4 linked regions of the Alligator mississippiensis genome follow. The protein of the gene in region 1 purifies or fractionates together with the protein of each later gene. This does not show direct contact. Links are inferred from orthologs where the notes say so. Each region holds a gene or a part of one and is shown in the gene's direction. Other genes may lie near its edges. The genes, in order: POLR3H, CRCP, POLR3C and POLR3E.

The links.
Region 2: the proteins of POLR3H (region 1) and CRCP purify together in Homo sapiens (affinity purification with mass spectrometry; 4 studies listed by BioGRID and IntAct, with this or other methods). This does not show direct contact. The link is inferred for Alligator mississippiensis from reciprocal best matches to the Homo sapiens genes POLR3H and CRCP.
Region 3: the proteins of POLR3H (region 1) and POLR3C purify together in Homo sapiens (affinity purification with mass spectrometry; 5 studies listed by BioGRID and IntAct, with this or other methods). This does not show direct contact. The link is inferred for Alligator mississippiensis from reciprocal best matches to the Homo sapiens genes POLR3H and POLR3C.
Region 4: the proteins of POLR3H (region 1) and POLR3E purify together in Homo sapiens (affinity purification with mass spectrometry; 9 studies listed by BioGRID and IntAct, counting the BioPlex papers as one, with this or other methods). This does not show direct contact. The link is inferred for Alligator mississippiensis from reciprocal best matches to the Homo sapiens genes POLR3H and POLR3E.

The regions. Positions count from the first base shown.
Region 1 is NC_081827.1:97,178,193-97,186,162, forward strand, and holds the start of POLR3H (DNA-directed RNA polymerase III subunit RPC8), read left to right. Parts: upstream 1-4,940; 5' UTR 4,941-5,042; intron 5,043-5,341; exon of another isoform or gene 5,342-5,949; intron 5,950-6,240; 5' UTR 6,241-6,263; coding exon 6,264-6,374; intron 6,375-7,970.
Region 2 is NC_081837.1:10,088,352-10,095,673, reverse strand, and holds the start of CRCP (DNA-directed RNA polymerase III subunit RPC9), read left to right. Parts: upstream 1-4,283; 5' UTR 4,284-4,894; coding exon 4,895-5,097; intron 5,098-6,299; coding exon 6,300-6,336; intron 6,337-7,322. UniProt on the Homo sapiens protein: DNA-dependent RNA polymerase catalyzes the transcription of DNA into RNA using the four ribonucleoside triphosphates as substrates.
Region 3 is NC_081838.1:17,696,192-17,704,234, reverse strand, and holds the start of POLR3C (DNA-directed RNA polymerase III subunit RPC3), read left to right. Parts: upstream 1-4,980; 5' UTR 4,981-5,204; intron 5,205-5,405; 5' UTR 5,406-5,552; coding exon 5,553-5,699; intron 5,700-6,394; coding exon 6,395-6,650; intron 6,651-7,675; coding exon 7,676-7,861; intron 7,862-7,987; coding exon 7,988-8,043. Other genes in the region: E3 ubiquitin-protein ligase RNF115, read right to left, coding at 4,636-4,728. UniProt on the Homo sapiens protein: DNA-dependent RNA polymerase catalyzes the transcription of DNA into RNA using the four ribonucleoside triphosphates as substrates.
Region 4 is NC_081836.1:46,616,391-46,623,681, forward strand, and holds the start of POLR3E (DNA-directed RNA polymerase III subunit RPC5), read left to right. Parts: upstream 1-4,232; 5' UTR 4,233-4,340; intron 4,341-7,047; 5' UTR 7,048-7,087; coding exon 7,088-7,123; intron 7,124-7,291. UniProt on the Homo sapiens protein: DNA-dependent RNA polymerase catalyzes the transcription of DNA into RNA using the four ribonucleoside triphosphates as substrates.

The DNA.
Region 1 (7,970 bases):
TGCATTAACCAAAATGTGAGGAGCTCAGGACTGGAATAGCAGGAGATGCTTAGTATTGAATTACTGAAGTATTCTGCTGGTGGAAGCTTGCCAACATGGCCCCACTACGATTATTTCTAGCTACAGTGCTAGCCTATGATTGTGTTCAGCCCTCCATTAGAAAAACAAACCCAAAACATGCCAAGCACATAAGCTTATAAAGAAAAAGAAACAAGGATAGGAATAATACAAGAGATGCCATCATGCCAACCACAAAACTCATAACGAAAGAAATATATTTGGTTAATAAGGGCAAGAAACATTCTTAACTTTGCTCCCCAAGACAGTACAGTTTCTAATAACTCAGTATCAACTCGTTACTGTCTTGGTGCTTGCCAGTGGAAGGAATTAGAATTTGCATCAAAGTGATTGTGCTGACAGTGCGGTTTTGACTGCCAGTCACTGAGCTGTTTGGTTTTTCCTTAAAGCTTTTTGTATATACTTCAAACGTTTTCTTTTCATATTTTTGTCAAGTTTCAGGCATTAGCAAAAACCCTTGTCTTTCACATGTTCTAAGATGCTCTGTTTGCTGCAGAATCCTTCCACTGTTGTAAAATTATGGAGTAGAAACTTTAGGGTCAGATTCTCAGCTGGCATTAATTGTCACTGTGCGGGCTGGGAGCGGTCTGAGGCCCTTGGGGGTTTTTCGCGCGGCGGGCTGTGGCCAGCAGCCCGGACACGCCGGGTCGGGGAAGGCAGGCAGCACGCTAGAATTAGGCACGGACGCTTAGTGGTTGATTTAAGATTATTTTACTTACACCGAAGATGGTCGCGGTGCAGGCAGGAAAACTTGCTTGAGTTGCAGTTACAAAACAAAACAAAACAAAACTCAAACCTGCAGGGCACGAGAGTACGTCGCAGGGGGTTTTCGGTGACGGGAAGATGCAAAACACGAGAGTACGTCGCAATGGGTTTTTGGTGACGGGAAAATAAACCTGCAGGACTTGAACCCAGACAGAGTTCTGGATACACTCACACGAAGTTTGCTAGGCTCCGTGGAACTTGCACGCAGGGAAGGGTACGTCGAGGGATCAGGCGGCGACGGGGAGAGGCCAGAGGTTGATCAGACCCCTATAGCCTTCTTGAAATACACACTGGGTCTGATAGGCTCCGCAGCACTTAGAGATCTTCACAAGATGCAAAGTTCTCCTCCTCCAGATGGTTGTGGAGTCCTCCATCTTGGGCAGAAACCGCTCAAGCCTCTTATACGGCTAGCAAGCCAATCGCTAGCCGCCACGTGGGAATAATTTAGAACTGGCCAATAGTGGGACACAAATTTGCATGCGAATGGCGGGAACTCCTTGCACCGTGCATTTCTCTTTTGCAACCTAGAAATGCACCCTGCAAAGAAAGCTACGAGTGGCGGGAAATAATTCAGCAGTGCCAAAGCACACACAAACAAAAATCACACCTTTGGGTTGTGACAGTCACAACTCCATCTATGCCTGTTAATACATTGTTTAGTAGCCAGTCCTATGTTTCAAGCCATTTTATTGTGGGAAAAAATCTTCCATACATGATTTAAATACAAATAGATGCAGCTTCCGTAGCCTCCCATCTCCTCCCCTCCCCCTGAGTTTGCAAACAGCCTGAAACAACAGCTCTCAAAGAGATGTGGACTGTTATCTCCACAGTAATGTTAGCCAGCCTAACAATGATCACTTTTACTTAGTTTAGTGCATCATTTTAGCAGAAATCTTCAGCTAACACACTTGTTAATCATCTGTGGATAAAATGGCAGACACTAAGCAGGGGAGAGTGGGGAGGTAGGTGACTTAGTTTTTGGAGTTGGGGAACTTGTGGCCCTTCCAGTGTTTCAAGTCAACAATGTTAAACACCTTTAGTGTTTCAAGTCACAAAGAGAAGGGGAAAAGGAGATTCAGCCTTTAACCAATATGAAATGCCTCCCACTGCCTCTTGTGCATGAAGTACAAACTGACTCTCACACCTTTTCAGATACCAAATTTCCACTGCTGCTTTTGTAACACCTCTATCTTCTCCCCTGAGAACTACTCTACAAAACACTGGGGCGCATGAACATTTGGCACAGTGTAAATAAAATAAGCTGAATATAATGGTGCAAATTAAGTTAAATCAGATGTAACTAAATGGCTCAAAGCCTTAAAAGAGTGGAGACATCACTGTGGATGCCTCCTGATAATCAGGGTGAAGAGAAGCCCAGAGCTGCCTGAGAAGTCCAGATGGGCAGAGGTCCCAAGAGGGAAAAGAGCAGTCAGCAGGTATCTGGTGTTGAGCAAGGGAAGGTGACTGATTGGACAGGCCTCCTCAACTGTTTGGGGTATTTAAAAAAACCAAGTTGAGTCTTGAAGTTGGGGCTAATAAAATGCTTTTAAGTGTGTCTGAGAATGAAGGGACAAGTGAACTGTATCAAATGTGGCTAGTGGCTCTCTTTAACTGAATGGTTTGGAGTGGCTAGGTAAAAGGTGCCCTAGGCAAGAGCGAGTGAGGAAGCAGCTGAGGATTGCATCCCTGAGCATGACGAGGAAAAGGACTCCCTGGCATTCTCTATACCACTGATTCTTCTCTGAAGACCTGAGATGTTGCAGAGCCTGCTTTGAGGTGGCGTGAAGAGCTGAGATGACAATGCTAAGGTAGCTTCAGGGCAGTGAACAGAGCTGAGATGACAGTGTAGAGGCAGCTTAGAGTATCATGACAGTGTAGAGTATCATATGAGCAGCAGCTTAGTTGAGGGACTCCAACGAGGATCTACCCAGCACCAGAGTTGTGATCCTTCAGTTGGGGTGGATACCAAAGTCTTCAGAACGGCATTCTTCTTATCAACAAGAGATGTACCTGCTCAGATTTTGGACTTTTCCAAGCCTGGACAGTGCACAGTGAGTGGAGTACAAAAAGGGCAAGAGAGCAGTGGTTATCTCACCAGCTACTGACAACTATGGGAGGAGGGCTGGATTTCTGACTTACTGAGGTACTTGGAGGTGGTAGCTTCACTTGATACCATTGCTGCATTCACTTGGCTTCTCCAGATACATACCACACTTCCCTCCCCCTCCCCGCCATAAAAGCTGTATTTGTGTTAAAACCTCAGTCATTCCTCACAAGTGAGGAACTATTGTTCATCCTGAGCACAATTTTATTTTCCAGGTTTTTTTTTCAGGGGGGAGGGAGGGAGGAAGAAACAAGTGCTAAGGCTCGTGGTGTTTGTGAGTAGGAATCCTTACATAATTTAATCTCCTTTTACTGCCAAGCTGCATGTGGCAGAAGGACTACAGTAGCAAAATAAATCATAAAGAGGGGCAGCACGCTGTTGCTATGATTTACTTTCACATTTAATTAATTGAAAACCTTGACACCATCTGAAGCTGCCAGAGAATTCATCTCCACAGACAGCAAAGGAGGGGAGAGTTTGGAGCTGACAGATGACCGGCAGCTGGAGAGAAGCACATCACGTCTCACATGCAGGGTGATTAACCTGAGGGAACTCCACATTTCTAACACTAATCTGGCTCTTTAGGAAGACAGCCACAAGCAAGAGATGCTGCAAGTGCAGCTCGCATCCAAGTCGTGTGCAGGCAGCTTGACAGCCCCAAGTCTCCACCCAACACTTTCCTCTTGGCACTGCCAGTCACACAGATGGTGACGCATTCTGGCAGTCGCTGCAGTAATTGCCAAGCAATGTCTATGTCTTTCTCCTGCGGGTCAGGGTGTTTTTAAGCCTATTCAGAGGCACTGGGTGTTGGTTACAGCCAAGGCTGGGGACTTCATCTGTGGTGTCAGTGCTCCTTCTGGGAGCAAAGCTGGAGGTTCCTGGCCAGAGGGTCTTGCCCTTCCGCTCAGGGTCAGACCAATCACCATACTGGGCTCAGGAAGGGATTTCACCTCATGAGCAAATTGGTTTGGACTGTGGTGGGGGGTTGCCTTCCTCTGTAGTGGGGCCTGTGGCCCTTACCCGGGATGTCTGGAACATGTAATAACATTTCACAGAAGCAGGACATTGGCTGCTATGTCAGGTCAGGGCATTAGGTCTGTGTTGCATCAGGGGTGATGAGTCTTACGGAGAGTTTAGATTATGGTTTGTATGGGATGATGTGGATAGGGATGATCCTACCTCAGGTAGGGGGCTGGATTAGTGTTCAACCTTTTTCCATTTGCAGCTAGCTAAAAGATGTTGAATGGAGGTGCAGACCCCTTTGAAGTATTGATATTCATATACTTTTGATTGTACTTAAATTCACGGATGCCTGAGCCACAGTCAGTGGACCCCCAGGGGTCTGCAGACCACAGGCTGAAAACCACTGGCCTAGATGATGCCTGGAGGTCCCTTCCAGTCCTACTTTTTCTGACTCCCCATTGCCCTCAGATCTCTTCCATCGGTTTAAGACCAGTGGCTCTTGACCTTTGTTAAATGCAAGGTAACCTTTCCTTAGACGGGAGGCAGCCCTTGGGAGATGCCATTTCTGGCCTTTGCCTTGTTTTTCTGACTTTGGAAAAATAGTAGTGCAAGTGCGCTGGTGCCGAGCCCGCAGCACGGCAGGAGGGTCTGGACCCTCTGGGCTCCTGTTGGAAATCTGGGAGGCTTGTGGCTCGGGTGCCTGGTGTCCGCAGCCCCCACTAGAGGTCATGCTGTCTGCACCCTTGCACGGGTCCGAGCACCCCGGGGCACCCGGCCGCCCCGCTAAACCACGGCCGGCTTAGACCAAGCTCTGGCAGGGCCTGGGGGCGCCTGCGTGTCTGTCCAGAGCCGGGCGCGGGGGTTAGGGGGCGCGCGCAGCACAGCCTCTGGTCTCCATGGTGACAACAGAACGCGGACCGCAGGCCCTGCTTGAAATGGAAGGCGGGGAGGGCCCGGGGGCGGGGCCTACGCGAGGGAGGAGAGAGCCCTCCGTTCACTTGGTCATGTGACCTAGACTCTACGTGTCAATCAATCCCCCATAGGACCTTCCCCGGAGGGTGATTGGCTCCCGCACCGGAAGCGGCTGAGGAGCCCAGGAGAGCAACTTGCTGCAGCTCCGCACGCGCTGCCGGTAAGATGCGTAGCAAGAGGGTCGGGCCTGTGGTCCCGTTGCGTTCCGTCTTGCACCGCGGCGCCAGAGGGGCCGCTCCCGGCCCCTTTCTGTGGTTGTGTGGAGCTGCTGTGTCCACGCGGCCTCCCGCCGGCCTCTCTCCTCCACCCCGCGTGGGGCCGGGCGCGTGCGACGGGCGGGGCTTCTCCCTGCCCCTGAGCGGCGCCTGCCGGGAGCACGGCGGGCCCCACCCTCTGCGTCAGCTGCGACGTAGGGTTGTGTTGCTCCTCGCCTGCTCCTCTCCCATCTGCTGCTCTGCTCTGCTCTGCTCCGCTCCCCGCCTTGCGCCTCCTGCTTGATCTGCTCTGCTCCCTGCCCCATTCTTCCTGCCTTGTTTGCTGCTCTGCTTTCTGATCCCTGTCATACGCTCTGCTCTCTGCCAGATCCACTGCTCTGCTTTCTGCTCTGCCTGCCACTGTGCTGCTGGACGGACACCCCTTCCTGATGTGCTGCGTGCCCCACACAGAGGCTGCACCTGCCACTTATTGCGTGCACAGGTTGCCCCTCCCCTCCCCACCTTAGTGCATGCCACTTATTTCCTCCTCATGAATGGTTCTCTTGTGCCCGTGGCCTGTGCGGTTTCCTACCCAGGACACCCAGATCCATGTTGTCAGCAGGCAGTGCCAGATCTGGATGTAGCAGCCAGTGCTGTAGTATGCCGTTGCTTAGGAACCCAGAAAAGGGTGCAGTAAGCTGCCACTGTGATTTGGGCTTGTAGAAGTTGACCTCAGTAAGGGTGGTGCCCTGCTCCTTTCATCTTGTTACCCATGTTGTGAGGCCCATTGCAAGGCCCTACCTGCACATAAAGAAAAGATGATTTCTGCCTAATGAGCTCACCTTGATAAGGGACTGAACTTGAGTCTTGAAAGTAAGCATCTCTTCTGGGTACTAAAAGAAAGCTACTGTTTGAGGTGTCTTGGGCAGGGCCTCCTGCCAAGTGATTCTGGCAGATGGTCCTGCTTTGTAGTTGAGCTGCTTGAGTTTGTATGCTGACTTGACAGGGTTTTAATACTTCAAGAGGGTAAAGGGTTTACAGTGCAGGGGCTGCATGTGTTTCCAGATCCTCCCCCCACCCATTTTGAGGTGTGAAATGATCTTAGGCATCCTCTAATCAGAAAGAGCCTTTCCAGGCTCATTGGTCTTCATGGTCTGTCCCCAGGGACACTGTTGCTGCCTGCCACCATGTTTGTCCTAGTGGAGATGACTGATACAGTGCGGATTCCTCCCTGGCAGTTTGAAAGAAAACTCAATGACTCCATCGCAGAGGAGCTGAACAAGAAGTTAGCCAATAAGGTAAAGCTTTGAGCATACGATGTATGACCCAGAGTTCCTGGAAGCCGTGGATGACTATTAGAAATAAAGTTTCAGCATGACTTTAGACATGAGGATCTTCACAGAGACTGAAGTGCTTGAGGCACCATAAACAGGGGCAGCAGTTTAAGATCTCGACAGATTGGAAAGCTGCAAGTGAAAGGTGCATTGACAAGTGCAAGGTGCTACACCTCAGGAAGAATAATAAACAATACAAAATGGGTGATACCTGACTGGATGGCAGCACTGTGGAGAAGGATCTGGGAGTCTTGGTAGATTACAGACTCAATATGAGTGTGCAGCGTGACACAGCTGCACATAAAGCAGATTTGGTTTTGGGATGCATTAATATAAGTATTAGGTGTAAGTCACAGGAGGCGATAGTATCTCTGTCCTTAGCACTGGTTAGGCCTTGTCTAGTGTATTGTAAACAGTTTTGGGTTCTATATTTTAAAAAGGATGTGGAGAAGTTAAAGAGGGACCAGAGGTAGGAGACAAGAACAATAAAGGGCTTGGAAGACCAATCATACGAGGAACGGCTGAAGGAGCTAGGCACATTCAGCTTGTAGAAGAGGTGCTTAAGAGGGGTGTAATACCAGTCTACAAATACTTGAAAGGCTGCCATAAAGAAGAGGGAAAACACCTTTTCTCTCATGCAGAGAGGAGAGCACAGACCAGTGGCTTTAAGTTGCAGCAAAGTAGGTTTAAGCTGGATATCTGGAAAAATATCACAGAACAGTGAGACAATGGAATAGACACCTAGGAAGTTGTGGACTCTCCACTAGAGCTGTTCAAGAACTTGGACAGCCACTAGTTGGGAATGATCTTGGCATAGCTATGCCTATGTTTTGTTATGGGTATTTCCTGTCCTGGCTTTGCAGGTTGCTGCATGAGACTGAGGCAGAAGTCCCTCCCCTCACCTCACCTCCCCTGCTGTGTGTCAGGGTTTTTCAGGATTTTGTTTGTTTGTTTGTTTTTTAAGTCTTCCTCAGAGGCATTGGGTGTTGGATGCAGCCAGGGCTGGGGATTTTGACTGGGCCATGCCAGCACTCTTGCTCTGAGTTAAAGTGAGAGATTACTGGCTAGAGGGTCTTGCCCCTCTGCTTATGTTCAGACCAATTGCTATATTTGGGGTCAGAAGGGAATTTAACCTCATGATCAGTTCGGTATTCTGTAGCAGGGGGCATGGCCCTCTTCCTGGAATCTCTTGAGCATGTATTAACTATCTTTAAAGAAGCAGGAAGTTGGCTGCTGTGGTCCCCCACTTTATCTGTGGCAAGTTAGGGTGTTGTGTCTTGTGCTGTGTCAGGGTTGACGGTAGTTTTGCCAAGAGGTTAGACAGTGGATTGAATGGGGTGGTTTGGAGAGGGATGATCCTGCCCCAGGCACGAGGTTGGACTAGATGACTTCTGAAGGTCCCTTCTCGCTCTACTTGTCTATGATTCTGTGGCTCTGATCTTATTTAATATATTCTTTAATGCTATAGAACAAACTGGTGAGGAATTCTTATATAATAAAGGGGTTAGTCCCTCTGTCTGTCTGTAACGCTCTTGGAGCACTCCAGTTGGTTAGTGAAAC
Region 2 (7,322 bases), on another chromosome or scaffold:
ACAATCCTATGCTTGAAATGTTTATACGTTGCACATTTAGAAAATTCCATGTCTGCATTCCCTATGGATACTCGAATGTACACATCCCAAGCCGCTGAGTCCAATCAGAAGTACAGAAATTAAAAACCGAGATACCTGGGCTAATCACTACTTTTGCATCTTCTCTTTGGAAAGTAGTTTGTGTGGAGCACAGTGATAATTTTGGTTGTGCATGAACTCCAGAGCCCAGTGGCTGAAGTGCATAGCAGGGCTCAGGAACGAAGCCCTAGGAAAGATATCAAATAAGATGCAGATAATTACCTGGTGTTGGAAGACAGAAATGAGATGCTAAGCATAAAAAAGCAGGTGCACGTGGTATCGTATAGCACCCGGCAGAGCTGTCGCAGGACTTTGCTCTGCTGGTTTTGGCCATATTGTGCCAGGGTCAGTAAATCACATGAACAAACAAAGGCGACTCTAGCTCTCTCTGGAGTCTGTCTGTTGATCTGGGTGTTTGTTCATTGCTGTCACTGTGCAACGACTGTGGTGGTTCCAGGGGTATGACCGTGGTGGTTCATATTTCAGTCCTTTCATTGATGAAAGAGGCTGACTCTTCTAGAGAAGATACCATTTTGGGTCACCTCCCTGGGTCATTAGGGCTCGATGGCTATTTGCTGGATCCCAAGTAATAGCATGGCCCTAAACTCAGAGGACACAAGGAGTTTCTTGTATTGCGCAGGCCTGTCCTATGGTCACGGGCAAGGCCGTTGTTTTGCGTGCTGTATCCAAAGCAATTCTCAGCTGTGTCCGGAGAAGAGCGGAGCTCGCTTTCTCTGGGTTGAAACGGGGTTGATGCAAACTGTAATACAATATATTGAGGTTATAACCAGTGGGAGGGCGGTGAAGAAGGTGGAATATTGGTGTGTCAGCTGATGAGACCCATAAAAGCACTTTAGGAAGAAATGCCTGATGGCACCCAGGAGAGGATTTCCTATAAGGTATCATGTTGTTCACACAGGTGATGGCGACATGCTGTGCGTGCAAGGCCCGGAGTTCATTTTCTGGACGGACAAAAATGATTTGATTCACTCTTCCCCTTTTATTATCACAGCCGAAGCTGGCTGGGACACACACAACTCAAACTGGTGAATTCTGGGGTGTTTCTGCCTGTGCCAAGCCTTGTGCCAGCAGTGGGCCTTTCTTTTTGTGGGCAGGTGAAACCTCTCCCTTCACCGTCAGGAGAAAGGGCAAGAAGCAACCAAAGCAGCGGGCGCGCCTGCACATCACCCTATGGCGACATAGTGACGCATGGCACGCTACGGCGACGTATCGCTAGCTACGTCGCAGTAGTGGCGCGCTCCCCGCTTACGGTGCCCTGCTCTGGAGACACAGCGAGAAAATTTAAACACGTGGTGCCCATTTGGCACCGTCCAGGCGGTTACCACACCATGTTTTAGTACTTCCAAAAGCACAGCGCAGTCACACCGTTCCCGTATGGCGATGTGTAGATGCACCTAGTGTAGGGCAAAGCTGCAGAGACCCACAACCAAAGTGTTCGGTGCAGGGCAGACCCACAACCAGGACAGGGCACACCTGCATGGACCCACAATTGGTGCAGGGCAGACTTGCATGGACCCCAAAGCAGGGCAGGGCAGGGCACACCTGCATGGACCCACAATTGGTGCAGGGCAGACTTTCATGGACCCCAAAGCAGGGCAGGGCACACCTGCATGGACCCACAATTGGTGCAGGGCACACCTGCATGGACCCACAAGCAGGGTGCTGCAGGGCAGACCCGAAGGGACCCACAATTAGTGCAGGGCAGCCCGTGCAGGGCGTTGCGGCGCGGGAGGAGCGAGCGGGGCAGCCGCACCGCGTGCGTCCGCATTGGTGGTTCAGTGGTAGAATTCTCGCCTGCCACGCGGGAGGCCCGGGTTCGATTCCCGGCCAATGCAAGTGTAACCTTTTTTTGCCGCTTCCGACGTTCTTTTTCCCGGCGGCCCCCGCGCTGCGCTGCGCTGCGCTGCGCTTCGCCCCGCCCCGCCCCGCCCCGCCCCCTCGTCCTTCTCCTTGCCCCCGGGACGCAGCACGGGCGCCATGGACGTGTAAGGGCCGCGCGGGGGGAAGAGGCCGCGGGTGCGGGGAGAGGACTGGGAGAGTCGTGGTTTGTTTTCTCCCAGAGCAAAAATGTCCCCGGGTGGGGAGTGATTCACCCCCGGGCCGTTCCCCCTCCCAAAAACGCTATTTTCTTAACCCCGGGGAGAAAAGGCCTGGCCGTGCGCATGCTCCTGGCCGCGCAGTAGATTTGCAAGCGTGGGCCGCGCAGATGGCAACATGAAGGCCTCTGAAGAAACCCCGGGCGTCTCCGAGCCTCGCTTGACGGCGGTGACACGGGGGGGGACCAGGGGCGACGGCCACTTACTGAGTTTTGGACATTGGGGAAAATTTTCTCACTAGGAGGGCGGTGAAGCGCCGCAGCAGGTCACCCGGACGTGGGGGAGGCTGCATTCTTGGAGGTTTTTAAGGCCTGGATAGAGGGGGAGGAGGATGAGCTGTTTGGTTTAGAAATGGATCATTTTTGTTTAATTTCCTATAGGAGCGTACCATGGCAATTGTATTCTAAAGTATATCTTAAAAGAGTGGCTCTTATGGACTAAGATGAGACGAATCTGTAGTACATGAGGATGATCTTAGTAATTTAGGTTAAAAAAATACTTTTTTTTCCCAAAGGAATCTAAAATATATTTACGGAAGAGGTTTCAAATTAAGTCATTTTTTTTTTTCCTTTTCCATGTACAGGTTACTCCTAAGTGCGCTATGTAGATAACTGATGTAAAATCCCCAAATTAGAATTGCTATAAAAATAAACTGCATGCTGATATATTGCATGCATACTTTTTGGTTGTTCAGACGTTCATACGACGGTGCAGACTGACATAAAAACTGAAGTCTGTTTCTGCTTTGCCAATTTTTTTTGTAATGATACAAATCAACCTGAATAAGCACGCTGGCCATAATGTTTGCTATATTATTTCATTTAAAATCCTCGTAGCTTGACAAAGTACTGAACAGCAAGAGGACTTTGTAGCTATAATAAATTTGTATCTCCCCATACCCTTAGCAATAATCAATCCCGCTAGTAAAAACTTAATTTTTTAAGTAACAGCTTGACAACTGGATGGGTTTCTGTTTGCTGTTAATTGGTACAAAAGAAGTTTAAGTGCTTGTGGTCCCAAAAGGTTTACCATTTTAAAAACAAACCCACGCTTGATTTAAACAGTATAAAATCGCAGTTAAACGAACTGCTGATTCATTCTGTGCTTGCCTGTTGAATATACAGTCCAGGATCTTCTCAGTTTTTTTAATGGAAAGAATCTGTATGTAATTCTTCCATGGCGCTATTATTTCCAGAAACAAAGAACATCCTCCGTGCATAGGGATTTCTGCGGAGATAGGCTGAATGCAGATTTCAAAGAATTGTGTTTACCTAAGAACAAAACTACAAAAGCTATATGGCTTGTAAAACATGAATGGAAACTGATGCGTGTGTGAGCTCACTTGCTGAAGTTTCACTAGAATCAGCTAATTGGAATTTTAAGTTCATCTCAGCGTATTTTACAAGGTCCCTTTCATTTAAAAACAATGATAGAACCTGTGGACGTTTGGAAGGCATTCACATGTTTGACTGTGATGAATGTGACAGTGCTATTCAGAGAGTTGATGGTGCTTGACAATGCATTTTGCTTTTTTTTATGTGCTGTCGCAGACCTGAGAAAAGCCCTTTTTTTTCCCCTTTGTATGGTAACTGTCTGGTGACTCAGCAGAATGCATTGTTCTCAGGATATATGGCTAGCTCCTCGCTGCTTGTCCTACAGAAGTTGTATTTACTTGAAAATATGAAATTACAATATTTTCTAGTCTAATTAATGGGAGCATGCTCAATTCAGAAATACACTTTACTCAGATTGTTCGATCCAGCAATAATATGTAAGAGCGATTCTTGCATAATTGGATCAGCCCCGGGACTGTGGGGAGCAGCCCAGGCTGTGGCATGTGCGGCTGGTCCTGCTGCCCCCAGGGTGCAAAGCAGGCTAGGGGCAGCTCCTTCTGACTGCCACTGCCACTGGACCCAGCCTCACTGCCAGGAGTCCCACCCATGTGGGCAGGGTGGGCGGCCAGGTGGAGGGGATGGGGCTGGGGAGCGGTGTCCAGGAGCAGCGCGGGTGGGGAAGGCCAGGGCCAGGCTGGAGCCAGGATCACAGGGCAGTAAAAGGGCCTGGGGCAGAGCCTTGATCCGCTGCCCACGCATCCCTGCAGTGGGCACTGTTTCCGCAGGCAGAGGTGTGTGGGGAGCAGATTGCAGTTCTGCATCAGTTCCTGGCCTCACACTATCACTGCCCCAAGATCCTGGATCCGGCTCCTCTTGCATGTCCAGCTCCTGGATGCTGCTCCCCACCCACCTGCGGCCCCATCCCATCCACCTGGCCACACTACCTGCCCAGGATTGTGGGGCAGTGGCAGTGCAGGGCTGGGGCCCAGGGCAGAGCTGCGATCTGCTCCCCCCAGGCCCCTGCCCGCAGAACCAGCACCCATTGCAGGGGTGTGTGGGGAGCAGATCATTGCTCTGTCCATATTGTCACATCCCCCCCGGTTCCAGCCCTGGACCTGCCCACCTGTCCTGCTCATGGATGCCGCTTTCTGCCTGCCCCGCAGCTCTATCTCAGCTGCTGGCTCATCATGGAGTCACTTAGGGAGCTTTGGTGAGCTGTTGATGGTGGGGGTGATTGCTGACCTGGCCCACAACAGCTCACCAAAACTCTGTAAGCGGCCCTCCAGCCCAAATAATGCCCACCCATGCTATAGAGTATGTGTGTGTGCATAGTTACAGATACATATATAGACCTCACTTACCTGTATGTGTGTTTGTATACATTATCTATTGTGGCAGGGCACTGTGTGCGCCTGCCACTTTAAGGGCCTGGAGCTGGCAGCCACCAGGTGCCTGACGAGGGCAGCCATTTTAGAGGCAAGGGCTGCCTATATAAACAGGGCAGTTTGGCTGCTGGAGGCCAGGCAGCAACATCGCCTGGCTGGAGAGCTGCCGAAAACAACCTGGAGGTAAGGGAGGAGCTGAAGGGGATGGTAAGGAGGCTCCTGGTCCTGGGCATGACCTCAAACTGCCCCCTGCCGGGAGTGGGTGGCCTGGTGGGGCTCTCAGTGGCGCGGGAGCCCCCAGGAAATGCCAGGCCGGTTACCACCCCGGTGAAAGGCAGGTCGGGGCGCCTTAACCCCTTGCCCCCACCAGCGGGGGGGTAACCCCAGTGTTTGTAAAGGGCCTAGAGGGCGGACCCTGGGAGAAAGTGAGGGGCTTGAGACCCGACCCGGACGAGGGAGTCCCCTCGACTGGCCCATGCTGGGGCCAGGACCAGGAGGGTCTAAAGGGCGAGGGATGCCCAAGAGCCAGGGGCCTGGGGTCCCGACTGGCCTGGAGGTGGGCCAGGGCTAGTGGCCGAAGGTCCCGGGGGGACCACACCCGAGAGGGGAAAATGGCTTTGTGGGGGGCTAGGTAGCCCAGATGAAGGCGGAGAGGCCGCCTGATCAGAGGGATCGGGGAGGGGTCCTGTTTGGAAGATTCAGGGGCCCAGCGTGGGGGCCGGTGAGGAGATGAACACCTAGATGCCATCTGCGAGGCTTGGGCTGCGGTATTGGGGAGGATAGGAGCCACAGAGAGCACCCCCTGGCATTGGGGCACTAAAATGGGTAGCTTCCCGCTTATGTGACATCTATTAATGAATCAATTAACGCCAAGGCGTGGCAGGTGAGATAGCGGGCGGTTGGCCCAAGGACAGGTGGGCAGGCCATGGAGATCGGCCCTGAGGAAGCCCCCTGTTACATCTCAATATCTGTATCTACCCACTCGGTAGATTTCTGTTATTGTTTTGTGCGTCACTTTATCCAGACAAAACTTTAAGGAGCAAGGAATAACTGAATGGGCTGTTAATTGAAATGGTAGTAGGCTGTCCCAATTCAGAGGATTTTGCTGAGCAAGTTAAACACTACTTTGTGGATCAATTGAGCCAAATATTCTTGTCTAATAGTAATAAGCATAATTAGGTTGTGTAAAATATTCGTGACTGCCATAGGTAGCAACAGCCAGGAACAGTGGAGGAATTAACAAAATTGTGATCCTGAGAATTTTATTGGAAAGAATTCCTGAATTTAACGATTTCTACTTTTTAGTGTTAGTAGAGAGGAAGATGGTGATTTTTAAATTTTTTTTATACAAAATATTCTGAAACATGTTTTATTCCTTTTTCTAGAAAAGATGCCAATGCTGCATTGCTGAGTAACTTTGAGGTAAGTTTACTCGTACCCTAATTTTCAGTAGAGTTTAATGCCGTGATCAGCAGCTTTTTAAGACTGCAGGTCATATTGACACAGTTCAAGTCAGAGGCAGATGGACAAAGGGAGGTCCCATGGCAGGCACAGGAAAAACACACACCACTGCTGCTTCCCCTCGTGCTGGCGTGGGAAGAGTGCCTGCCACGGCCACTTTTCCCTGTACTTGGTCCCACTGCTTTTTTCCTTGCATGGGCACAAGGAAAGCATTCACCTCTGGTGTGGGCAAAGCACTTGCCACAGCCTTTTCTCCCCGCATTGACACAGGAAAAGTGCCTGCTGCTGGCACAGGGAATGCATCTGCTGCTGCTGCTTCCTATGCCAGCACCAGAAAAGTGCCCGCCACTGGCTTAGGGAAAGTGCCCACTACTGCTGCTTTTTCCTATGCTGGCACAGGAAAAGTGATTGCTACTAGAGGTGCACCAATACATGGGTCCCATATCAGATTGGCACCGATATAAGGAAAACTGACTATCAGATATTGGCTTTTTTTGGCTGATGTGGCCAGTAATTCCCCATGCATCCGCCCAGCCGCAGTGCAGCACACAGGCGGCAGGAGCTCAGCCCAGCAGCATGGAAAGCAGCTGGGTCTGGCTGGTAAGTCTGTTGTGAGGAAACGGGCATGGGGACGCAGATCGAGACCCCTGTGGTGAGGGAGGAAGTGGGGCTAGGCAGGGGTTGGGGCAGGTGCTGCACAGCTGGCGTGGAGCGGGGGACAGAGCCACAAGCGACTTGTCCGGAGGGTGCGGGGAGAGGGTGGCAGCTCTCACTGCTGCATGCACCCCAGGGGGGCATGGCAGGTGTGTGCCCCTGGATCTGCGCACAGGGCGAGGACAGGCTGTTGCTGTGGGCTGGGGCCGGGGCTGCGCGGAGCTCTTCCTGGTGGGGGGGCTTGGGCTGGGGCTGCGCTCGGGACAGGCAGCGGTTCTGGGAGAGAGGTTGTG
Region 3 (8,043 bases), on another chromosome or scaffold:
CCAGCTGCCTCACCCACACTGTTTCTAAGGATGCCATGCTTCCCAGGAGGATTTACCCTATGTCACGCAAAGGTAGGCCCGAGACACTGGCAAGGGCAGCGGTGGGACTACTGTAAGTCATAAGTTCCTGAAAACAGTCTCGTTTCCACATCACAAATCTCATCAAGATACTACTGGCAGCTTACTTGCTGCTTCCAGAAGCTACAGCACTCACCCAACAGCTATGGCTGTGAAAAGGCTAACAAAGGACCCTGCCATCTTGGCAGCTGCCGAGTCTCCAGATTTCTTTTACAGTGAAGACAATAGCTTCCCTGCCTAAAACATGCACCTTAATTTTCAGGTGTGTGTGGGAGACGGGGCTGCACATGGTACATGAGAAAATATGGTAGCAATTGCCTCATCTTCATTAGGATTTTACCAATGAAAACAGGCCTGTACCCTGAGCAAAAACAGGGTCTTAGAGATCTCTCGACTGTAAACGTCCCAATGAAGAGGCACAGCTGTGTTGTAATCCTGTCTTGGCTGCATCGCCAGTACAGTCAAGATGGGTTCTTTATACTGACAGAGGACAATCTTTTTGGCAGGTGTGCCACAAATTATCCCCGTACCCTCCCCGAGTGCCACTCTGGTCCCCTTCCCGACCTGCTGCTCTGCTTTCTGTTCCCTACCCTGTGCTGCATGTTCCCTGCCTCATCTGCCACACTCCCTGCACACAGCCTAACAGTGGTATCCACACTGTAAGTTGCCCACCCTTGTTTTATACCATCCTCGTGGCTGAGCTGCCTGGCACCGAATGCACCGCCAACACCACGAGAACCGGCATGCAGGGATCATTTAATCCATCTCGAGACGCAGCCAAGGCCCGAGGCGACAGGCAGTAGCTGCTGGGTGGCAGACAGCTGAACTGAGCAGCGGAGCGGCGGGGATAGTCTCACACGTACAAGGGTCTGCAAGTGTTTTTGACGAGCAAGGAAATATTATAAGGAAACAATGTGCCCCCGATACACCCCCCCCCCCTTCCAATGCAACTGCAAGAGCCATTTTCGCCTTGTGGCTGGAGGAGAGCCAGGAGGCCAGGCACAAGGATCTCTCCTCAACAAAATGAACAGCAAGATCTTTAATAGCAAGGATCAGCCAGGATCACAGCAGAGCCGGCAGAGGGGGATGGGGCCGTGTCCAGGATCACTGGGCCCTTTTGGGCTGGGAGGAAGGAGGGGAATGTCTTTAAAGAACAACCAAAGCAGGCAGCAGACATTTGCCTCGCTGAGGGTCCCCACCACAAGAAAGCCTCTCCAATCCCCCACGCGCAGTCAGACGTCAGGCCGCTTGTCCTCCTCTTATTTTGAAAGGGAGGCAGAGCCACAGGACATGCACCAGCAGCACTGTAGCCACCCCAAATGGGTGATGAGGAACATGGTCACCCCGCTATCCCCCACCACACACACACAAATATATGGGGCTGGCTTCCAGCCAACATAACTTCCAAGATCCCCACTCCTCATTAACTGTTTCCTATGTCTATCACTGCAGAACCCATTGGCCACGTGTGGATTGGTGTAGCCTGGGAAGTGGACAGGCCAGAACATGGCTTGTGGCAAGGGTTGCCCTGCCCTGCAGAGATCCCCTGGTGGTGTGTGGCAGGGAGAGGACCGGGGGAGAAGGATGACATACTAATATAACCCGCTGTTGTCCATTCTGGGTGGATCACAGCATTGGTTCCTGACTCAGGATCTCTGGCAGCTCTGCAGCAGCCCACTGAGATCTGACAGTGTGGGGGAGGCAGCCAGGTCCCATCACCATCAATAAACCCTGATGGAAGTCAGGCACTGGCTTCAAGAGATGGTGGATCCATACATCTGCATCTTCTCCAAGGAGAGACTGATACTCTGCTTAGATAACCCCCGGTGTAAAAAAATCTCCTCCAGGTTTTACAAATCAACTGCCAGACTCCCTCGCTCCGTTCAGCTGGCATTACCCTCATCTGATAACGCCTGCCAGAGTGCTGTCAAGAAAAGCTCCCAGCTTTGCAGAGAGGAAATTAGCACAGAGAGGGGAAGTGACTTGCCTGACGTCAGAGATAAGTCAGGGGCCGAGCTGGGATGAGAAGCCAGGAGTCCTGGTTCTCAGCTGTAATCGCTGGTTCACACTACCTCCAGACAGACACGCCTGGCAGAGACCTGGGCCAATGCAGATTTGAAAGGAGGCCCTAATCAAGGGCACTGAAAACAGCAGCCCCCCCTTACCCACACACCCCAGCTGAACCCAGCAACTGTCACGGTTGAACAATGGGGAAACTGAGGCACATAGAAAGAGTGCTTTGCCCAAGGTCAGAGAGGGGATCAGCTTTAGAGCAGTGATCCGAACGCAGGCATTGTCCTCACCTAGTCTGACGCTCCTGGCTGAGCCTTGGCCAGAGATCACGAACACACAGGCTCCAGAAGAAGTGGTTCCAGAGTCTGGTCCCAATCGTGCTTCCAAATGACGCTGGCTACTGAGAGCAGGAAGGAGCCATATTCTCCCACCACTCAAACAGCCTGGAAGAAAAGAGCCATCCCCTAACTCAAGCCATTTCCTACCAGGGATCAAGGGCAGAGAAAGGTGTTGCCACCCTGTGCAGGAAAGAAAAAGCAGCAAGATTGATGGGTTTGGCTTGGTTGGTTCCAGCCCTGAAGAAAGTATTTATAAAGCCTGGGAAATATTTGCCACTTCTGAAGCACCCGCAAAGATAGGATTATGCTTAGCGCTGCTGAAATGCAGCCACCTCTGGGGTGGAGTGCAGCACGTCAAGAACACAGCTCATCACCCAGTGACAGCAGCGAAAGTGAATTCAAAGCCAAGGCTGTGACGTTGCTCTGGGTTTTAAGAAAAGTTTTAAGAAAAACCAAGCAAGGCAGGCAAACCACTCTCTTTTGCAAAGGCAGCCAAGCAAAGCCCTGCCTGGGCCTTCAAGAAGGGATTTCAGTCCCCGAGTGAGGAGACTGAAAACAGGCACTGGAGTCCCAGCAAGAGAGGAAAGACATGATGCAAAGACGCTGGAAAGAGCACGTTGCCCAGCCCCACTGTTATGTGCCGCTCAGACAGCCGGGCCCAGAGGCTGCAAACAAAACGTGCTTTGGCCATCAGGAAATCCTGAGTCCCGGCTACGGAAGGGAACGGGCTGCGAACGATTCAGGGCAGCGTTTCTCTCTAACAAAGGAGAGCTGGAAGAGCGTGGGGGGCCTATCCAAGTTGGCAGAGGCAAAACGACGGGGAATTCAGGAGCAGGGAGCGAAGAGACCATGCCAGAAGGCTGGGCTCTTAGCTGCAAGGACAGCGGGCCAGGATGCTGAGATGTAGCACCTTGGGCTTCTCCTGGACAAGGACGAGCCGTGCCGGGGCTGCAGGAACACTGATACCTGAGCATACATCAGGCAGGGGCAGGGCAGTCATGTCATGCCAGGCTGCTACACTGCGTGAAATCAGGCACCTTGCCACCTCCATCCCTGGCAAGGAGAGGACCAGCAGCAGCACAGGACCTGCTCTGCTCCTCCATGGGCCAGGGGGACGCCCTGGATCTGCCCAGCTCATGCCACCCCCTACCCACAACTTCCTCAGAGCCAGAGAGCACGGAGGGACCTCAAGATCCAGGGGGCTGTGATCTTGCCCCAGCTGCCGAGGATCTCCTGGCCACGCTCCCGCTCAGCAATGAGGCAAGGGGTCTCTCGCTTTCAGACCTGGGGAAACTGAGGCATGAAGGGGAGGGGACCATCCCCACAGGACACAGAAGAAGCGGCACCTGATCTGGTTCAGGCTCCTTCGGCTGCCCCCCCCACGCCCGACGACACCTCGGGTGACAGGACAAGCAAAACAAGGATGCCCGGAGACGCTCGACTGCAAACAAACCTGCCTGCTACCTTGGGCATGTGGCCGAGCGGAGCCTGCAGCCCCCCTGCCCGGCACTGGGGGAGATGCCAAGGAGGCAGCCGGGGCTGGGGCTCTGCCAGGCGACCCCCTCGCTCCCCGGGGCAGGGAGACGCACCCTCCCTCACGCTCTGCCCCCAACAAGGCTTTTGAGGCAGCCGGGGGGACTTCTCCGCTCCCCCCACCCGGGGAAGGTCCCTCTGAGGAGTGGGGCTTTCCCCCACTGTCAAGGGGGCTGGGGGGGTCCAACCCCCCCCATGGGGAGGTCCCATGGGCCAATGGGATGCGCCGTCACTTCCGGGGGGAGGGGCTACCCCTGGGGGGGGGCTGATCCCCTGCATTGCCCCTCCTCCCCCCGAGGGGGCATTTCCCCTCCAGGAGGTGCTTGGGGGGGTTAGACCCCCTCAGGGGCAATGCTGGGGTTCACCCCCCCCGGGGAGGGTAGCTGGGGTCACCTTCTCACCCACTGGGGGAAGGGATCACCCCCCCCAGCCCCAAATCGAGGGGGGGGCAAGTGGGGTGAAGCCCCCACTCGGGAGGAAGGGCAACAACCCCTCCCCAACTGGGGGCTTCTGTATTTGCCCCTCCCCCAATGAGGGGGCTCCGGCTCCAGTCCCCTGAGGGGGTCGCCCCTCCCCCCCGGAGGGGGGCGCTGAGGTTTGACCCTCCCTCCGCCCCTTACAGCGGGGGGGGCGGGATGCAGCCCCCCAACCCGGAAGCCCGCGTCCCTCTTACCGGCAGCTTGGGGTTGACCTCCCCCTTGCAGCTGTGGCAGAAGAAGCGATGCTGGGACACGGCGGCCGCCGCCGCTGCCGAGGCCTCCGCCATTTTCTCTCCCCCTCCCCCGGCTCCCTGCCTGCCGTCAGTCCTCCGGGAGGAGCAGCGAGACTACGGGCGGGCCGGATAGAACGGCGGCGGGGCCGCTCTAGCCCGCAGCTTACTCCCCAGTCTCTTCTGCTCCGCTGCGGGAAAACGGAGCCTTCCGCTTGAGCAGCGAGGCGGGAGGGTAGAGCGGTTCCTCGCTACTTCCGCGTTCCAGTCCTCCCAGCAGCCACAGAGACGAGGGGAAAGCCAGAGCGCCACCCGAGAGTCCTCAATGCGCTGGGCGACGTTAGACGCAACGGGAGAGGGAGAGAGCGCCCCCTGGGGTCCTCCAGCGCCACCAACGAGAGGTAGCTAGAGCGGCCACACCAAAGAAGCGAGCGGAAGTGATCCTTGTTGAACTGGAAGCTGAAAGCCACGGGGTTGCTATGGTTGCTGTCGGGGCCTAAAAAAATTCGACCCCCTCCCCTCCCCTCCCCCAGGTGAGATGCAACCCAGGCGTCGGGACACCCCCTCCCCCCCCCGGGCCTCAGCTCATCGTCTTCAGCCTCAGTTTCCCTTGGAGGGGGAGGGGCCCGTCTCTAGCCTCAGTTTCCCGAGTGGGAGTGGGAGTGGGGGTGGGGGGAGGGGCGGTTTGATACAGCTGCAGATGTGAACCCATCAAATCCATTTCTGGCACAAAGCGTGAGCCGCCTCGAGTCCGGACTGGACACCGCAAGAGAAACCGGCATCTCCGCATCCGCCCGGCAGCGCCGACCCGTTGCATCCCTCGTGACGAAACCGCGGACGTTCGGACCCGACTCGACGCAGGTGTGCGGTTTGCCGGCGGGATGACGCAGGCGGAAATTAAGCTCTGTTCTCTGCTGCTGCAAGAACATTTTGGAGAGATCGTGGAGAAGATAGGCACGTACCTCGTGCGGACCGGCGGGCAGCCTCTGCGAGCGATTGTCAGCGACACCGGCACCTCCCTGGACCAGGTACGTCCCGGGCTGCGCCAGCTGGCGAGTCGGCGTCCGCACGCTCAGGGGAGCCGGCTGTGCTCGGGCGATCTCCGTACAGCTCGTCAGTTCCCGTCTCCGGAAGGTTTCCCCACTTCTAAAATCTACGTGCGAGACACAAATTGGCGTAAAGGAGGTGCTGACTTGAAAGCAGATTTTTTTTTAAAATTGGGATAGATGGTTTCATCGGGCTCCTGCTGCGGTCCAGGGGCGTCTTTGCCACCAGTGTTAACGAGCGGATCCCAGACGTTACCTCCCTGCCGCCGGGCGAGTGGGGGGTGCCGTTGAGATCTAGCTGGGAAAGGAAGGAGCGAAGCTGGAGCAGGGGATGGAGGTTAAGGGTGTGAAAGACTGAGCTGTTTAACAATTAACGGTGAATCAGAACGCAGCGCCCTGCCCCGGACCTCGCACGTTGCCTCAGCTCTGGTAGCCTGAGATGCCCTGGGAATTCGCAGCATCGGGTGAATTCACTTCCGTGGTGAAAGCTTAATAGCTTTATCCCAAGCTGATAAGAGCTCATGAACACAGCACAGATACTGCATCGTTCGAGTTGCCAGCCAGCCCCCCCCAACCCTAACCCTAACCCCTCCCCCCTTCACACACCCCTCCTCTTAGTCCATCGATGGTGCTGTGCGTTCCCAAGTCCGTGACTTGTCCCTTTCCGGCTCCCACAGGTGAAGAAAGCCTTGTGCGTCCTCATCCAGCACAACCTGGGCACCTACCAGATACAGAAGCGTGGCTTCGTGGAGTACAGCGTCCAGTGCAGCCGAGTGCTGTGCATCCTGCGCTACCCGCGCTACATCTACACGGCCAAGACCCTGTACGGCGACACGGGCGAGCTCATTGTGGAGGAGCTGCTTCTCAATGGCAAGATGCCCATGAGCGCCGTGGTCACGAAGGTGGCTGACAGGCTGACAGAGACCATGGAGGGTGAGTGATGGGGGTGTTGGCATGGCTGAGAGACGGGATGGGGACTGCTCCCTGGGGCACCTCATCTGGCTGGTGCTCCCTGGATATATCTCGCCACTGGTGGGATTGGATCAAGCTCAGGGGAATAAGAGGATTCAGCACCAGGGTGGGGGATGTTGAATCCAGACCATAGGGAAGTGATGGATGGACATCTGCTGGGTGGCATCAGTGGGTTTTGTGTCTTGGAAGGGCTGTGTAGAAAACCAGTGCGCCAGTGATTCCCCAGGAGAGAGCTTGGGCTGCCAGCTCCAGGGATGGGGGAGCAGCAAAAGATAAACAGCAAGTCAGTGCTCATGCCAGAGACAGAGCTGGTTTGCGGGCATATGCTCCCACCAGACATGATGGTATAACACGTGCCAATGTGAACTTGTCCCTGTGTCAGGAAACCAGGTTCAAGGCTGCCGAGTTGGCTTCTTCGCTGCCGCAGACTCGCTGGAGGACTTGATCAAGTCGAAAAAGACTTGATCAAGATCTTCTCCAGGTCTCAGTTTGCCTATATGAGTTCTGAGGTGAAGGAGGAGCATTTCCTGCCTAGCTTGTGTCTTAAAGATGAGTTTCTCAGCTGTGGGCTGAGATGGGAAACCCACTCTGGTTGTGCTTGGATTTTCCCTCACCTCTGCGCCGGTTTCTCTGATAGATGCATGTCTAAGTAGCTGGCCTTATCAGTATCTAATCTGCCAGGAGTGGGGTATCTGAGCTGGAAACAGGAGACTAAACACTTCTAAACATGACCTTGAAACTTCAGGTGCCCAGTGTATGACACAAGCCTGTTCAGCATCCCTGAAAAATCAGGTCACCTCAAGTAACCCCCTAAAAAACCAGAGGCTTCCAAAACCGCCATCTGCCTCTGAAAACCCAGCCCATGGCCTCTGAGGCTGGTAGGAGCAAGGGCAGGGCATGGGGTTGTAACCCAGCTGGCACAGTGCTAGCAGCTGGGCAGTCAGGATCACGAACATTCACCTTCTCCTTGGGATCCTCCTGTCCAGATGGGAAAACCATGGACTACACTGAAGTCTCCAACACCTTTGTCCGCCTGGCAGACACCCACTTTGTGCAGAGGTGCCCAGGGGTCCCCGATGCTTCTGGGCCATCAGATTCGGCAGCACCTCCTGCGCCTACGCTGGTCATTGACGAGAAGGACATGTACAGCGTCCCCAGACTGAACCTCATAGGTGAGGAATGAGCTGAGCCACCCTGATCAGGGGCACGGTGGGAGCAGGAGGCATGATGAGAGTTTGGACAGGAATCCACGTTCAGCGTGATGGAGTCAGAGGGGAACCTCTGTCTTTGGCCTACAGGGAAGGGGAAGAGGAGGCGATCGTGTGACGATGATGATAACGGCGAACACAAGGCG
Region 4 (7,291 bases), on another chromosome or scaffold:
CTATAAAATCCCATGTCTGTGTGGGACTGGATGTTTGTGACATGGTAGGCCTGATGGTCTGAACATGTCTGTCTGCTGCCTTAAAAATGTAGGATGTCCTTGGGAAGATGCTTATGTGCTTCCCTCCCAGGAGTTCCTGCTGCCTCCATTGCTTGACAGATGCCAAGATGCATTTCCTCAGCTTTCCCCACATTCTCTCTGGAGGGCTTTTTCTGTTTCCTCCTGGCCATCAGCCTTGCTGCTACTGTTGAAAATGTCCTACTCAAGGCTACTGTGCTCAAGGACACTGATAAAAGAAGATAAGGATCCTGTATTTACAGCAGTAGCAGGAAAGGAAATGTGACTGCATTATCTGGGCTGGGGAGAATGTCCTGGGGAAGAAATGTGTGTACTGGGAGGAAAAAGAGGAGAAAATGCAGCACTTTCCAGAGCTCCCTTTCCTGACTGCTGCTCTGGCCTTAGCATCAGCTGTGCTGGCAGTTGAATAGTGGGTGTCTGAGGAGAGGTTGTGGGGGTTTTAGTATCTCTGCCTTATCCTCACAGAAGGAGTATCCTCCTCTTTGATGCAGGGTGTGATGGTTTCCTCCTTGAGTTCCCTTTGAAAATTGTCCTTTGAAATGCTCACTTCCAGGAGCAGGTCTAGGGGCATGGAGCACCATGAAAAAGGGATGCATCGTGGGTGTCACTTGGCAGGACGACTCAAGCTATTTGCTTGCTGAAGGGCCTTGGCCTTGGCCCAGAAATCCTCCTTGTAGCCCTTTGCTTCCACGCCCTCCACATTTGCCCTGTATACAGTGTGGTTCCCCAGGAGCAGGGCTTGGACAGGCCCTTCTCCCACAGGCTGAGGAAATCCAGCACCTCCTTCCTATGCCAGGCAGGAGCACAGGGTTTGGATCTGTGTTTGTCCTTTATAGCAGCTTTACATGGCATGTTTGCCTGCTTGCATGTGCATGCTACCAGGGGCTGAGTATGTCCCAAAATTGCAGGATTTAGAGGGAGGAATTTAGACACTGGAATTGCTTTGGGATAGCTGCTAGACCTGGCACAAGAAAAGGACTGTCCACACATACTTCCTGTCAACTGCCACTGGTATTTGGGGAAGCTGACAGAAATCTGTGACTTCGTTACCATTTAGGCACTTTGAGCACAGATGTGCACACTGTTACTGAGAGAAGTGTTGACCAGGCTGAAACTGGTGCTTGCTGTACTCTTTCCAGCAGGAGTCAGTGGTGCCTGCTAGTGGCACTTCCAGAAGATGATGGGCTGTGCTCTGACCAGGGAGTTAACAAAGCATGACCCTGCTTCTGGGCAATAGAGGAAGGCAGTGGAGTACAGACAGGCTGGAAGGAACAGGACAGGGGATTGTGGGACTGATGATAGAGGAAGACTTCCTGCGCACAGCTATGCTGCAACCAGAGTTCAGAGGTGGGTAGCACCTGTGGGGTACAGCCTGTGAAGCCATAGATTATGGACTCATCTTGCACTCACCCTGGGATGCAGGTGTATTGGTGACTGGGTGAATCAGTCATGGGACAGGCATGGGCACAGGCCCAAGCTCACAGTGAAGTTCAATGTAAACACACACATGATCATGTGGCCAGGGGAGTTGACCTAACACCTGCTCTTCCAAGAAGCCCTATGGATCATTAGTGATCACTCAATCTGGGTCTCAGCTGAACATCCTTTCCAAGGGACGAAGTGCTCTTAATCCCCAGTTGCCCTTCCCAGGGGTAGATCGATTTTCCATCATCCTCTGCGAGGATCACAATGGGTACATCTACGTGTGCGCTTTAATGCGCAGTAGCCTATTTTACTGCACATTAAAGCAGGGCATAAAAAACTCTGCTATTATGCTAATGCATAGTAAAATAGGCATTATGCGCTTGTGTGAAAAGTGCAAATAATCTGGGAGCAATTCGCTTTAAAGTAAACTCCTGGGTATGCGGCTACACATGCAGGGATGCAGAAGCAGATCCTAACAGCAGACTGCTCCCACACCCTGTGGCCCTGCACTGGGCCTCTGCAACGGCCAGGGGGAGCTCTAGGCCCCCACTCCCCATCCTGAAGTGGAAGCTGGCAGCTCCAGCTGTCAGGGAGCTCCCCAATAAGGATCTCCCGGTCCCCACTCCCAGGCAGGCAGTACATAATAAGTAAGTAAGTAATCTTGACTGTTTGCTACTTGCATTTGCAGGTAGCAAATATACTAGTGATTAGAGCAAATTACTGTTCAATAAGCATCTGCACATGTAGATGGTGACACATGCAGTAATTAGCTCCTAATCTTAAGTGAAGGTGTCCAGTGTTACCTAAAACACATGCATTTGTGCTACTGCACATTAGAGCAGCCTAATGTGCTTTAATTGAGTACCTCACATTGAAGGGTGCCTGTACACGAGCCTGGAGGCCGCTTCAGTGCGTTGTAAGTAATTGACTCTGCTGGAACGTGGCAATGACTGTGTTCCAGCAGCCTCCCACATCTTGCGTATTGTGTCCCCTCGCTTCAAAATGGCAACAGGGGAGCGTGAACTAAAGCTTGTTAAACGGGCTTTAGTTCAAATGCCCCTGCTGCCATTTTGAAGTTCAGGGACACTGATACAGAAGCTGCTATGGCACTTTAATTAGAGCGTGAGCTGCTCTAATTCAAGCTCCCCACCCCGCAGAGCATGTGTAAAAGTGCCCCAAGGTGCTAAATTTAATGCGCATTAGGAAAAGTGCAGTATTGTATGCATAGGTGACTCATAAGGAGGTATGGGGGGGGCACATGCCCCCCCTGAGATTGGCTTCCACTTGCCACCCTCCCCGCTGCCACCACCGCAGCTTCTGCGGGCAGTCGCCACTTGCTGCTGCTGCCACTGGTGACTTCTGCAGCCGGCCACCAATTGCTGCTTGTCGCTGCTGGCTTCTGTGGGCAGTCACCCATCGCCGCTCGCTACAACCCCCACCCCTGCTGCTGACTTCTGCGGGTAGTTGCCACTCGCCACCCTGCGGCTGACACTGCCGCCTACAAATTGTGCCCCCCCAGTCTCAGAAGGCACCAGTCCTTCATGAATGTACATATAGGTGCGCCCAGCTTTAGGCAGCCCACACTGCTATTATTGAGTCTGGGATACTGGCAACAGAAATTGGCCTATCGTGCTGAAAGCCCAACTCCACCATGGCAGGAAGTACAAGTATGAGGGGCCTTGGGGGCATGAAATGCCAGAGCTGGAGACTTTTCAGAACAGCGCCCCCGAACAGCAGCTGGGTCCTTGTGGCAGACAAGTGACGGGAAGGTTTGGCTCCCAGTGGCTTCTGCCCAGCGCCCTTGAGAAACGCCAGAAGTTACTCCCCCTTTGGCATGGGTGACTGGTGCCTCCTGAATCTGGGGGGGCACCTGCAGAAGCTGCCGACCCTGTCAGGGAGGGCACCGGCCCTACCGACAGCATCAGTGTTGGCCCTTGAGGGGGGCACATGCACCCCCTATCAGTCACCTCTGCCCTTCGCGTGCGCGTGTGGTCTGTGCACTGCCTCCAGGAGACTTTCTGGCCCTCTACCCATGGGCATGAGCCTGCCCCTCCCTATGCCCCACATCCAAGTGTAGCCAGTGGTGCGCACTCCCTGCGCCTCAGTTTCCCCCAGCTGCAGAAGCGCTGGCAAGAAAGAAAGGACAGAGCCAAGGAGCCCTTGCATGTGAGCAGCACCCCAGGTAGCACACCCTGTTTCCCTTGAGTGTTGGTCCTGGGGGGCCCCCGGCTCTGCTCTGCCCCGTGCACAGAGGTGGGTCTCCAGCTGCCGCGGCAGAGCGCGGGTAGAGGCGCCGCGGACGAAATGCAACAAGGCCCAGGCTGAAGTTAGCAAAACTCGGGATCACAGCACAGCCTGGGGGCTGCAAGGGGACGGAGGCAGCAGGGGCACCGGGGAAACCCGGACAAGCTCAGGCTCTCTCAGCACAAGGGGAAATGCGGACAAACGCCGGTGGGGCAAAGCCTTGGCCACGCTGGCTCTAGAAGATAACACAGAGATAAGTGGGCCGCAGCAGACAGCCCCATCATCTGGGTAGCGTGGCCGAGCGGTCTAAGGCGCTGGATTAAGGCTCCAGTCTCTTCGGGGGCGTGGGTTCGAATCCCACCGCTGCCAGAACATTTTGTCCCTGCGCTCTTTCCCGGCCGCTCCGCAGCGCCGCCTGCCGGCCCGGCCCGGCCCGGCCCGGCCCGGCCCGCCGCCCGCAGCATTGTGGGTAAAAGGAGGTCCGGCCGGGCCTCCCACGTGTCTGCCGGAGTGGGAGCAACATGGCCGCCGCCTGAGAGCGCCCCGGAGCCGCACCGCGCTGAGGGGCCACCGGCGCCCGCCGCTCCCCGCAGGTAGGGATAGGCAGGGCCGGCCGCCGGGGCCCGGGGCGGGGCCGCGCCGCAGGATGGAGATCAGGCCCGGCTGACAGCGCCGGGCCGGGGTCCGCCGGATCCAGGCAGCGCTGGGCGGGGGTCGGGAGCCTGTCCCTGACTGCGGGGCTGGTCCCGCTTTTGGGACGCTTATTTCCCCCTGCAAAAAAATAAACATAAAAGCAGGGCCCTCGCCCCGCCAGTGCCCTGGGAAAGTGCTGCGGGGAGATGGAGGCCTCGGTGCCTGCCTGGCAGCCGGCTCCCTGGCTCAGGCACTGCTGCATCCTGGCTCACAGCAAGCCACCTCCGTCCTCCCAGCAGCATTTCTGCCTCCGACCCTCGTTTTGCCCCCTGCCCTCCCACCCTGCCTGGCATCAGGGTGCCGCGAGAAAGTAGGTTCTCCAGTTACCAAAAATGAAATTAAAAAAAGGTTTTGGCAGCAGGGAGTGGCAGGGTGCAGGCCGCCCCACCTGGGCCACAGGCCACATGGTGCCTGCTTTCCCTGACTCACTGACCAGGTGTCCTGGGGTGTGGCGGGGTTGTTTTCACCCCTAACGTGGTCACTAGCAGGGAGTGAGCGGAAGGGCCCGAGGGATTGTGCACGCCGCTACACAAATGCCGAGGCACTGAAAAGAGGTGCTTGCTTGATGAGGGACCTCCTTAAATCCCTGTAGCAGGGTCTGCCGGGCAGAAGTTACAGCACCCTGTGATGGGAGCCTTGCTGCACAACAAATCCCTGTAAGCTCCTTGGTCATTAGCAGGAAGTCCTCTTCCAAACCTGTTCATGGACAGGCCTGGTAAAGAGCCTGGTAAACATCATGTGGAATTGCCTTTCAGGGGCTTATGGAAAGCCTTTTAGCAGGCCCCGAGTTGCCGGATGCTAGCCAAGCCTGAGTTAAACAGGAGCAGCACCGGTATTTAGATGTGAAGCTCTTGAGGCAAACCTGGACGCTGCAGGAAATGATGCCAGTAACTCAGAAGGTGGCAGTCTCCCTTCGGTCCTGGGAAGGAGCCAGTGGATCAGTGGGACAGCGGTTCTCGGCCTTTTAGTACTGTGACACATGGCACTGGGAAATGTTTTGGGTTTCTCCCTATGTGTCCAGGGACTTCAGGAACATCTCCATGTACCCACAAAAGCAGAAATGTGTTACAGTCTCGGTGTTGCAGGGGACACTGTGCTGTTGGAGATGCTGTTTTTCAGAGAGACATAAAACAGGAGTCTTTGTTTTCTGATTGCTCAAGATCCCGAGGCTCACTTTTTGGGATACCCTAATATCCTGGCTCTGGTCATCTTTTTGGGTAGCTGGATTATATCTCTGTAAATGCTACCTGCAATTTCTGTTGGATATGATTTTTTTTTCACCTGTTCTAAAGTAGCTCGTGTTGCTGTCTGCATGTGTGTATCAGTGTCACATGTTCTCTCAGTTTAATTGACCAATAATGATTGGCACTTCTAGCCCCTTTTATGAATCCAAAACTGATATAAGACGACTTTGTGCTATCTATTCAGTTACAAATCAAGCATATTTATTTATATATCTCAATTTTTTTCTGTTATTCTTCTACTGTTCATGTATTTCTTTCTTCCTTTACTATATTTCTGTTGAAAAGGTTTCATACAGTTCTGTTTTTGTGTCTTTGAAATCCTTGAGTTTAGTTTAGCTTTCTTCACTATGGAAAGTTGCTTTTATGAATGTTATAAAACTGGTTTTGGTAACGATGCTTCCTCCCTATATGCTTCCTGCCTGTATTAGAAGTACTTCTAGTCATCTTTTAAAGGAATTGGAAAATTACTGGCACTTCTAATAACCAAGGGGTAGACACACAAAGGAACATCATGTAAAATACAGAACCAGTCCTTAGAGCAGGGACCAGAATGAGGGCCTTCTCCCGGCCCAGCAGTGGTCACACCAACACGCTACAGTCCTTCTGACTCTGGTTCAGTGAATCGTTAACTTTTTTCTAGAGAGTGGAACAGTTTTAAAAGGAGGGCTTGAGTGCAGCCTTTCATCAGTGTCCTGTAGCCTGGTAGTTAGGAAATGACAAGTACAAATCCCTCCGGGAATGGAGAGAATTTAACCTTGGTTTCCCACACCCTGGGAGAGGGTGTCCCACAACCACTAGGCTGAATCAAGCTCACTGCTTCCTGTTTCTTACAGCCCTGATCTCAGCAGTTGATACTGTATTTCCCTTGGCACTGTATAGCACGTAGTAAGGAACAGTCCTTGCCTTAAACAGTTTGTAGTTTAACTAGACCAGGCAGACAAAGAGTGCCTGCTTCCCCTGTTGTGAAGGGCAGAGTGAATTGACCAGGGCAGTGGAAGAGTTTGGGCTACAATCCAGTGTTTCTGAATCCTAGGCTAGGGTCCTTGTTATGGCAGTGCAAATCGTGCAATTGGATGGGGCCTTGAGCTGGTCGGAGCATTATGGTTATGGTGAACAGTAGAGACTGGCCAGAAACTATACAAGGCCACCCAAGTTAAGTGCCACAGCCATGCACCAGGCTGCTTCTCCTGTGATGCTTCTGCAGTTAACCACGCCTGTCACAACTCAGACATCTCTGGACTAAGTCCACAGCCAAGGTTCTGCTTTCCCCTGGATGGCAGCCCGTGAATACTCCTGTTCAGTAAGGGCCAGGGAACTAACTTTCACAGCCCAGGCTTGATGTGGTATTTTTCTTCTCTTTCAGATTGTGCTAGAGAGCCCAAGACAGCTTTTACCATTCTAGCATGGCAAATGAAGAAGATGACCCAATTATACAAGAGGTAGATATACACTGGACAACTGTGTACCTTTCCTCATATTTAGGTTTCTTAGCTTTTGGCTCTCCTGAAAGAATATCACTGAGCTGAGTTGCTGTCTGATGGTCAGTAAACAATAGCATACAAAAGATATGAGGATTCGGTGCACAGCCTGCATTTTCTCTGATCAGT